Saccharomyces cerevisiae S288C: one gene and its partner. Changing the gene in region 1 together with any one later gene gives a genetic interaction. Each region holds a gene or a part of one and is shown in the gene's direction. Other genes may lie near its edges.

Region 1 (7,107 bases):
CCAGCCCACCGACCACAAGCACAACAGAAACAGTGCCTTCTACGAAGAATGACGGTGGCAAATACCAAATGCCTCTGTCTCAGCTGTTTTCACTAAACACTGTGAAAAGATTCAAATCAGTAACAAAGCAAACAAATGAACACATGACCACAGTACCTAAAACCAGTCAAAATTCCAAAGCCAAAAAATATTATCCAGTATTTGATGTCAACAAAATCGATAATCCTATAGTAATGAACAAAAATGCAGCCGCTGAAGTTGACGTAATTGTTGATCCATTACTGGGCAAATTCTTGCGCCCTCATCAGAGGGAAGGGGTGAAGTTCATGTATGATTGCTTAATGGGCTTGGCAAGACCAACTATTGAAAATCCGGATATCGATTGTACTACTAAAAGTTTAGTGTTAGAAAATGACTCAGATATTAGTGGATGCCTTTTGGCTGATGATATGGGTTTAGGTAAAACACTAATGAGTATAACTTTGATTTGGACATTAATTAGGCAAACTCCTTTTGCATCAAAAGTTTCATGTTCGCAATCAGGCATACCATTAACTGGACTTTGTAAGAAGATTTTAGTCGTTTGTCCCGTTACTTTAATAGGAAATTGGAAAAGAGAATTTGGAAAATGGTTAAATTTGTCAAGAATAGGTGTTTTGACATTAAGCTCAAGGAATTCTCCTGATATGGATAAAATGGCTGTCAGAAATTTTTTAAAAGTGCAACGAACTTATCAAGTCTTGATTATTGGCTACGAAAAACTCTTGAGTGTTTCTGAAGAATTAGAGAAAAATAAACATTTGATTGACATGCTGGTGTGTGACGAAGGCCATCGACTAAAAAACGGGGCTTCTAAAATTTTAAATACGCTGAAGAGTTTAGACATAAGAAGGAAGCTTTTGCTTACGGGAACTCCTATACAAAATGATCTTAATGAGTTTTTCACTATTATAGATTTCATAAACCCAGGAATCCTTGGAAGCTTCGCTTCTTTCAAAAGAAGATTCATTATCCCTATAACTAGAGCCAGAGACACTGCAAACAGATACAACGAAGAATTGTTGGAAAAGGGGGAAGAAAGGTCAAAAGAGATGATAGAAATTACGAAAAGATTTATTTTGAGACGAACAAATGCGATTTTAGAAAAGTACCTTCCTCCAAAGACGGATATAATTTTATTCTGTAAACCATACAGCCAACAGATATTGGCATTCAAAGATATTTTGCAGGGCGCACGTTTAGATTTTGGACAATTGACGTTCAGTTCTTCGCTAGGACTAATAACATTACTGAAAAAGGTTTGTAACTCTCCTGGATTGGTTGGCTCAGATCCCTATTACAAATCACATATAAAGGATACCCAATCTCAGGACAGCTATAGTCGTTCTTTGAACTCTGGTAAGTTAAAGGTATTAATGACATTACTAGAAGGTATTAGGAAGGGTACCAAGGAGAAGGTCGTCGTAGTGTCTAACTACACTCAAACATTGGATATAATTGAAAATTTGATGAATATGGCTGGGATGTCACATTGCAGACTCGACGGTTCCATACCTGCTAAACAAAGGGACTCTATCGTCACATCTTTCAATCGGAATCCAGCCATATTTGGATTCTTGTTGAGTGCAAAATCGGGAGGTGTAGGATTGAATCTAGTCGGTGCTTCGCGACTTATTTTATTTGATAATGATTGGAATCCTTCAGTAGATTTGCAAGCGATGTCACGAATTCATAGAGATGGTCAAAAAAAGCCGTGCTTCATATATAGACTTGTCACAACTGGGTGTATCGATGAGAAAATATTGCAAAGGCAATTAATGAAGAACAGTTTGAGCCAAAAATTTCTAGGTGACTCGGAGATGAGAAATAAAGAATCTTCTAATGATGATCTTTTCAATAAAGAGGACTTGAAGGACCTGTTTTCTGTCCATACAGATACCAAGAGTAACACACATGACTTAATTTGTTCTTGCGATGGTTTAGGTGAGGAAATTGAATATCCTGAAACAAATCAACAGCAGAACACCGTAGAGCTGAGAAAGCGTAGCACTACGACATGGACAAGTGCGCTGGATTTACAAAAGAAAATGAATGAAGCAGCCACCAACGATGATGCCAAAAAGTCACAATACATTAGGCAATGTCTCGTTCATTATAAGCATATCGATCCAGCAAGACAAGATGAATTATTTGATGAGGTTATCACAGATTCGTTCACCGAATTGAAAGATAGTATTACCTTTGCGTTTGTAAAGCCCGGCGAGATATGTCTCAGAGAACAATGACGCCAAATATGGACACTTATATACTAAATAAAATAGCTATTATTTAATCACTGATTGTATTTAATAGGTTTATTCTTGCACGACTCATTCAGGTTCAAGTCACATATTAAGTAGGGCCTATTGCTGATTCAAGTTGATATCCACGTTTTCACTAATTTGATAACGATACGCTGCGGGCGCAAATCAAACATCTGAAAGATTTGAATAGCCTTTAGTCCCAAAAAAAAAAAAAAAAAAATAATGTGAAAAATTATCTACAAGGAAATAAATTGATAGGTAAAGTTAAAGAATCACGGCATGAAATTAAAAAGTGTATTCAGATCAGTTCTAAAGTACCGGAAAACAAATTTGAGTTTGCTTCTATTAATCACCTATTCGATTATTACGTTACTCTATATCTTTGATCATGAACGTTATAAACTCAATCTACCAAAAGAGGATGAGCACCCTGAATTCAATGACTTATTAGAAACAGCATGGGGGGACTTACAGATTATCACGGCCTCTTTTCATCCGTACACGTCCAAAGAAAATGATAAAGTACATGATTACTTGCTCAAAAGGGTTCTTGAAATTACAGGGAATTCTTCGTTTGCAAGTGTTTCAGATGACAAAGAAAGCGAGAGATCCATATTATTTCAGCAACAAGATCCTTTCAATGAGTCATCTAGGTTTTCGAGAGTGACATATTTTGAATCTTCTAATATATTAGTTAAGCTTGAGGGTAAAAATCCTGAGGAAGAAGGGTTACTTCTTTCAGCTCATTTCGACTCTGTACCCACAGGATATGGAGCTACCGATGACGGCATGGGTGTAGTGTCTTTACTAGCGAACCTCAAGTACCATATAAAGCACAGACCGAACAGGACTTTAATTTTCAACTTTAATAATAATGAAGAGTTTGGCCTACTAGGTGCATCAACTTATTTTGATCACTCATGGTCTAATTTAACCAAGTATGTGATAAATTTAGAGGGAACTGGTGCTGGTGGTAAAGCTGTACTGTTCCGAACTTCAGATACTTCAACAGCAAGAATATACCAACAGTCTGTTAAGGAAAATCCATTTGGTAACTCTATCTACCAGCAAGGTTTTTATAGCAGATATGTCAGGAGTGAGACAGACTACAAGATTTACGAAGAAAATGGCATGAGAGGCTGGGATGTCGCATTCTACAAACCGAGAAACCTTTATCATACCATAAAGGATTCAATACAATATACCTCCAAGGCATCTTTATGGCATATGCTACATACTTCCTTACAATTAAGTGCATATGTGGCTTCTAATTCATTGGATACAGCTGACCAAACGCCGGCTTGTTATTTTGATTTTATCGGTTTGAAGTTTTTCGTTATAAGCGCTAAAACGCTTTTCTATTGGAACTGCATATTTCTATTAGTTTCACCCGTTGTGGCCATTGGCTTGTATTTAATTTCTCGTGATAGAATGACTTGGAAATCTTATTCATGGCTATCGTGGACACGCTTTCCTCTTTCATTAGCCGCTGGTATTATTGTCCAAAAGCTTTTCTCTAACGACATAATTCGTTCCAATCCTTTGACGTTCTCAAGGAACTACTTTTGGCCTATCTCGGCTTTTTTCACTCAAGTAATTTTTACCAGTTATGTTCTGATTAATTGCTCCAATTTTTTTTTCCCCTGTGCCGATATGAAAAGCCTATCAATTATCGAATTGTTCATTATTTTATGGACCATTTTACTTTTTACGTCGAAGTTATTGTATAGTTCCGACTATAGGTATACCGGGCTTTATCCTCTCTCGATTTTCTTTCTTCTGAGCACAATAGCTGCTATATTGAGACTACTTGCACTAGCGTTGGGAATGAGAACAAGGAAGAGGCTTGGTAGAGAATGTAGGGACCATCACTCCAATTACAGCTCCCATTCTCAAATAGATATGGAACGAGACGGTCAGGAAAACTTGGAACAACCCCAAGATCAACTTACATCGTCACAAGACGATCAAGCAAGTATCCAAGATGATAATGTGTCAACTACTTCAGCTGGCCCATCACATAATGTTGACGAGGATCATGGTATGGATTCATCGTCACAACAACATGATGAAAGGGTACCATTACTGAAGGGGTCTAATAGCATGGAGGAAGGATTGAGTACTAGAGAAAATTCTCTAAAACTTGAGTATACCGATTATGCCTGGATCATTCAATTTTTGCTAATTGTACCAATACCATCATTTATTTTGTTTAACAGTGTGGATGTTATCATGGACGCACTAAACCATACTGTCCAGGAAGGAAGTAAGGCTACATTTGATGTACTCAGGTTCGGAATGGTGGGCAGTATTTTGATCGCGCTACCAATTTTACCTTTTTTCTATAAGGTCAACTATATCACAATTTCTTTAACTGCACTGCTTTTCTTGATTTCCGCATCCAAAACGCTCCTAGTGCACCCCTTTACCAATAGTAACCCATTAAAAGTAAGGTTTTCTCAAAATATTGATTTGTCTCAAGGGAACGCTGCCAGTGTACATGTCCTTGGAAGAGAAGGAAATTTTTTAAAACCTATGCTGCAAGATTTACCAAGTATAAAATATAGCTCTACACATATTAACTGTACTTCCGTAACCAATGGAATGGAACTTTGTATGTATGATGGAATGCAACCTAATTTATTGAGCACGAATGGAAATACGAACATCAGCAGTATGGTCAAGGTTCATGTTTTACATAATAACCGAAACTCAACAGAGAGATCTCCTTACGAACCAATAGTTGCAGAGTTACTTTTGGAGGTGAAGGAGAACAGGGCTTGCACTTTAACTTTTGAAAGTAGACATCAGGCGAAGTCACCTGTCAGAGAAATCACGGTATATCAAAAGAAAAATTCGGCCCCACAGAAAGCTAATATCACGAAGACGATCAAGTCTGCTTCTGGCATAAACGAACTGCAATTGCATAAACTTGATTTCGATCAGGAAACTTACCATATCGGAGTCCAGTGGTTTCCAAAACTTTTGACGGATGGAAATGTAGAGGATGACAAGTTGGGGACAAAAGACGAACTGTCTGTTTCTATTAGCTGTTATTGGGGAGAATATGATTCGGAATCGGTTGTAAATGGTACCGCTGTTAGGAAAATTCCAGCATTTGATGAATTGATAAATTACGCACCTCTAAGTTTTTCCTTTACCAACGAACAGAAAGGATTAGTTATTGTCAAGGATGCTATAATTTTATAATTCTAATTAGTTTTAAATGTAAATTTTTATAAACTCAAATTCGCCTACTGGGGGAGTTGTCCAAAGGCTTCGCTTCTTCCCACAAGAAGAACAAAATAATAAAAAATATTTTGAGAAATTTTTCGTAACAAAAGGAAAAACTATTGAGTTTAACTTATGAATGTACTTTACTGGCCAAGAATCCGTCTGGAACCATTCTACGGTGCTCTCTTCGTAGCGCTAAAGACAGCTATAGTGGATATTCAGACGGTATTGAAAATCACTAATGATATCAGTTAACAAAGTAAGAAACATGTTTCGTCAGATAAGTTCTACACTGCTGCAAGTGCATACAATGCTCGTTTTTATAAAGTCCTAAATTATATAACCCTCCAGTAACTATTAGAAAATAGCACGCAATAATGCTAGCGATATACAAATAACCTGTAAATCTATATATTTATTAAGTATAAAGATAATGGTCTTGGAAATGGTTCTTCAGGGATTGTGATTGACTATAGCCGGATATCGTTTGGATCAAGAGCTTGGTTAAGCGGATATTTAAGTTATTTTAATATATCGCTTTGTCCAAAAGCAAGTTTTGGAGGTGGGATCTCAATTTACACGATACAGTATTAACCAAATCTTGATAGCAAAAAAATGCAAAATATCGTATAAGTGAAGGCAAAGCATTGTCCAATGTAAGGTTCTGTGCCGCCCTTCCCTTTTTTGAAAGCTGCTAGATATCATTGTTACCCTTTTTAATTTCTACGCTATTCTCGGACGTCATAATTTTATAGTTACTGACACTAAAAAAAGGGTCGTACGTCTTACTGGCAGCGCCGAAAAATGTTTCGAAAATACACCTTAACACATTGAAGTAGTGATGATTTCATAAAAAACCACAAGAATTTGTTCGCTAATACATTAATTCGGTACTAGACTTTATTGACTCGTATATTTCTAACGAATAAATCACCCACTCTTGCTATCCTAACAGTATTTAATATTAGCTATTTAAAAGCCTTAAGATGGACTATGGCTACTTTTTTCCCGCACAACGTATTGAAGAAACAAATGGTGTGGATTTTTGGATAGACAGTAATGCTGAATTTACACAGTCTAAAAGACCTGACTCTTCAACATCCACTCTTTCGAGGGTTTTAACGGACACCACGAATGTATCCAATAATAGTGGATCACTCAAAAGAAAAACCATCAAGAACAAAATATTCCCACAAAGGAAAATATTCAACGATAGCGAAAATTTTGACTTTGGTAAAGCCAACACTGATTGTAAGCATGTGTTTAAAAGTATTTCTAAGCAACTGATTTTTCTTCCAAGGTGTTTCCAACATCACAGTATCCGAGGCTGGATGAAAGACAGATACTCCGAATTTGGTTATAAAATAAAAAGAAATCAAAATTGTCCCCCCTCAGCATGTGTACAGGCACTATACAATACTAGTAGATCCAATACCGAAGAGTCAAACCCCAACAGTCTGGATTCTCTGATAATGTATAAATACATGCGATACTCTGAAAAGAAAAAGGAATTGATGTGCAGATTTTGCCAGGGGAATAATTGGATTCTAGCTGAAAACTACCTAAAACA
Region 2 (3,184 bases), on another chromosome or scaffold:
GAGTGAAATATTATGAAAGAATATATAGTATAAATATATACATTTATATATGAATTCTAATCAATAAAAGTCACAGTAACCAGCTTTTCCTAGCTTTTCGAAGTTTCGGAAGTATGACAAAATATGAGCGTGACCCTGAATTGGTGAACTTTCTATCGAAAGTGGAGGATTTGAACTCTAAGAGATACAGTAATATTCCTAGTTCAAAACCAGCGGGGGAAGCGCTTTCACCAGTTAGAAGTCACAACTCTGGGGAATACAGAAGGGCTGATATGATGACAGGGAAAAATGTGGAAGGTTGCGACAATTTGGCCTACCGATCTGCGTACAATTATGAAATGACGTTTTCTCCAAAGAAGACTCATTACTCATTAAGTGAGCTGAATCTCGAACGAATAACGCCAAGGCCGGATTTGGAGGGAAGTGCCTCTCAAAAAGAAAAAAAATTTTTAATTTCTGAAGAAGATTATTTATTATTGCAGAAATTGAAAGCCTCTCAAACATATAATGATTCCAATGCTGACAAAAATTTGCCTTCCTTTGAAAAAGGTCCTCGTATGCCCAGTCGGGGTCGACCCAGACCGAGAGAGAAGGAAATAATCACCATCCAATATGATTTTGAATTACCAGGAAGAGCCGATATACCCTCCTCCTCCTCTTCTTCATCACCACCGCCTTTGCCCACAAGGCGTGATCATATCAAAATCACAGATGGGAATGAAGAGAAACCGCTTCTTCCAACAAGGCCTAACAAAGCAGAAGTTACAGAAAGTCCGTCATCAAGGTCAATAAAACCGGATGCTGTGGTACCTGAGCGCGTTAAGCCTGCTCCACCTGTCTCACGCTCTACAAAACCGGCGAGCTTTTTAAGTTCTTTGGAAGATAACAAATTGACAAAGGCGAAGAGTTATAATTCGGAAATGGAAACTCCCAAAACAACTGTAAAAAGTTCTCATATCGATTACTTGGATTCCATACAACTAAAACCAACCACCTTATCTCCTACAATGAAAAATAAACCTAAACCAACCCCTCCTTCTCCACCTGCGAAAAGAATTCCAAGATCTGAAAGTTTTATCAAGTCTATGCTAAACTCGAATCTCACGACAACTTCCAAGCCTTCTTTGCCTGAAAAACCTCAAAAGCTACGGAATGCAAATTTGGCCGCCCATAAGACCAAACCAAGCATACCGCCAAAGAAAGTGGAGTTGAATATAGTATTACCTGAGCTACGTCCCGTAGAAACTTCTCCAACAAAGCAGAACTTCGAAAACTCAATCGATTTGCCCAAGTTACGATCCAGCAACCGTAACATTAAAAAAGAAGAGGAGGACAGTATTCCAGAAGCAATAAAAGGTATACAAAATCTGAAGAAAACCAAACAGCAGAAGCCTGCAATCCCTCAGAAAAAATCATTTCTAACAAATAATTCGAAAAATACTACACTCAAAAATGGTGATGATATTAACAAGTTAAATGACGAAATTGAAGCTCTATCATTGCGGAATAACCTGAAGAAACGGCCACCAACGGCGCCACAACGTAAAATTTCTTTGCCAGAGGCATTGCGAAAAGTCGAATTGATGAAAAAATCTAAAACCGAGCCTGTTTTAGAGTCCTCAAACGAACTGAGCATAAACGCAAAATTAGACGCAATAATTGCCTCTAGAAACTTAAGAGCATCTAATACTCTACCAGAACTTAGCGGTGTTAACACTAATATTGCAACTTCTGACAAGTATACTACTTCTAGAGATGAAACAGTGAAGGAAACTAAACCATTAGTTCACCCGAATAAAAATAGGACTCGTGGTCCCAGAAGAAAACTTCCAACACGCGTGTAACTACAGAGTAGACCTCCGTATTTTACACATGTATGTACGTACATATGATGTAACAATAATATGATAATTTAATGGGATACATGTATTATCGTCACTTCCCACGTTTGCGCTTTGACATTTGCTCCCCTTATGAACCTGAAGGAATATAAATCATCGATCTTTTTGCTACACTTTTCCTCCCTTATTAGAAAATAGCAGTAAAATTACAGGCTATTCAAACCCTGAAACATCTCAATTATGGCTTGGACTAGTACATTACCAGCGCATCTACTGAACCTGATCAAAAACTCCAAATATGTTCACGTGGCCACCTGTTCTAAAGACTGCATCCCTTCAGTGGCATTGATGAACTATATCTATGTGCCAGGTGAAAAACTGTTCGGTCAAACAGATAATAAGAATGACTACATTATATTTGTTTCTCCTCAGGACACACAAAAGTTTTACAACATCAAGGAGAACCCTAAGGTCGCCCTGTTGTTTCACGATTGGATCATCGCGAATAATTTGTCAGTGGGCAAGGAAAGCATCTCTGGGACTCCGACGCCGACTTCTATTCCTCATGAAGAGCAACGTCAAAGCGAGCTTTTAAATTTGTTACAGGAGTTAAATCAAGCCGAATTGAACCAAATGAGCGCATCTATTGGTGGCGAAACCGAAATTGTCAATCCTGAAAGTGAAGAATCCAAGTACTATAAAGATTTAATACTAAAGGCTAATCCTGATGCGAAAGCTTTTATATTTGAAAAGAACACCGCCGTTGTTAAAGTTAGAATTGATAATGCTAGGGTATCCAATAATGAGAACAGAACAATGTTTCTAAGTAAAGGGAAGAGTTAACTGTCCTCTGCTTTTCTTTATCTATTTTGCATACGATTCTGTATTTAATTATTCTGTTTTTTTTTTTTTTTTATTTTTTATTTTCATGTACACAAGAAATCTACATTAGCACGTTAATCAATTGACTAGTTACCTTCTTGACCAAAATCTCTAGTGAACTGTTCTTGCTTCAGCAAGTCATCCTCATTCACGGTAGGTCTCGTCGATTTGATAGCCTTTAAGAAATCCTTTATGGTGAGATCTGGTTCTTTTAATTCATCAGCTTCAATATCCGTCCAACTCATCTCGATGGCGCCATCATCACCTGGAGAGCATGGTGTTAGTTTTCTTGTTTCGTCGTCCTCCGTAGAGACATCTTTGAAATGTGTCGCGCTTTGAATTTTTCTTATCGGTTGCATTAGCGCATCTTTCACCACTACAGCAATATCACTCCCGGAATAACCTTCAGTCATTGCACCTAAAGTTCTATAATCTTCCTTGGTCAATACGCATGGAGTGTC

What was found. Genes that interact genetically often act in the same process or in processes that back each other up.
Region 2: mutations in PFF1 (region 1) and YPR172W together harm fitness more than expected from each alone (negative genetic interaction), as found in Saccharomyces cerevisiae (one large-scale study listed by BioGRID).

Annotation. Positions count from the first base shown.
Region 1 is NC_001134.8:383,704-390,810, forward strand, and holds PFF1 (Pff1p), read left to right. Parts: upstream 1-2,582; coding exon 2,583-5,513; downstream 5,514-7,107. Other genes in the region: DNA-dependent ATPase RDH54, read left to right, coding at 1-2,285; ECM8 (Ecm8p), read left to right, coding at 6,524-7,107. UniProt on the Saccharomyces cerevisiae protein: May be involved in vacuolar sorting and osmoregulation.
Region 2 is NC_001148.4:883,715-886,898, forward strand, and holds YPR172W (pyridoxal 5'-phosphate synthase), read left to right. Parts: upstream 1-2,081; coding exon 2,082-2,684; downstream 2,685-3,184. Other genes in the region: BSP1 (Bsp1p), read left to right, coding at 114-1,844; AAA family ATPase VPS4, read right to left, coding at 2,810-3,184.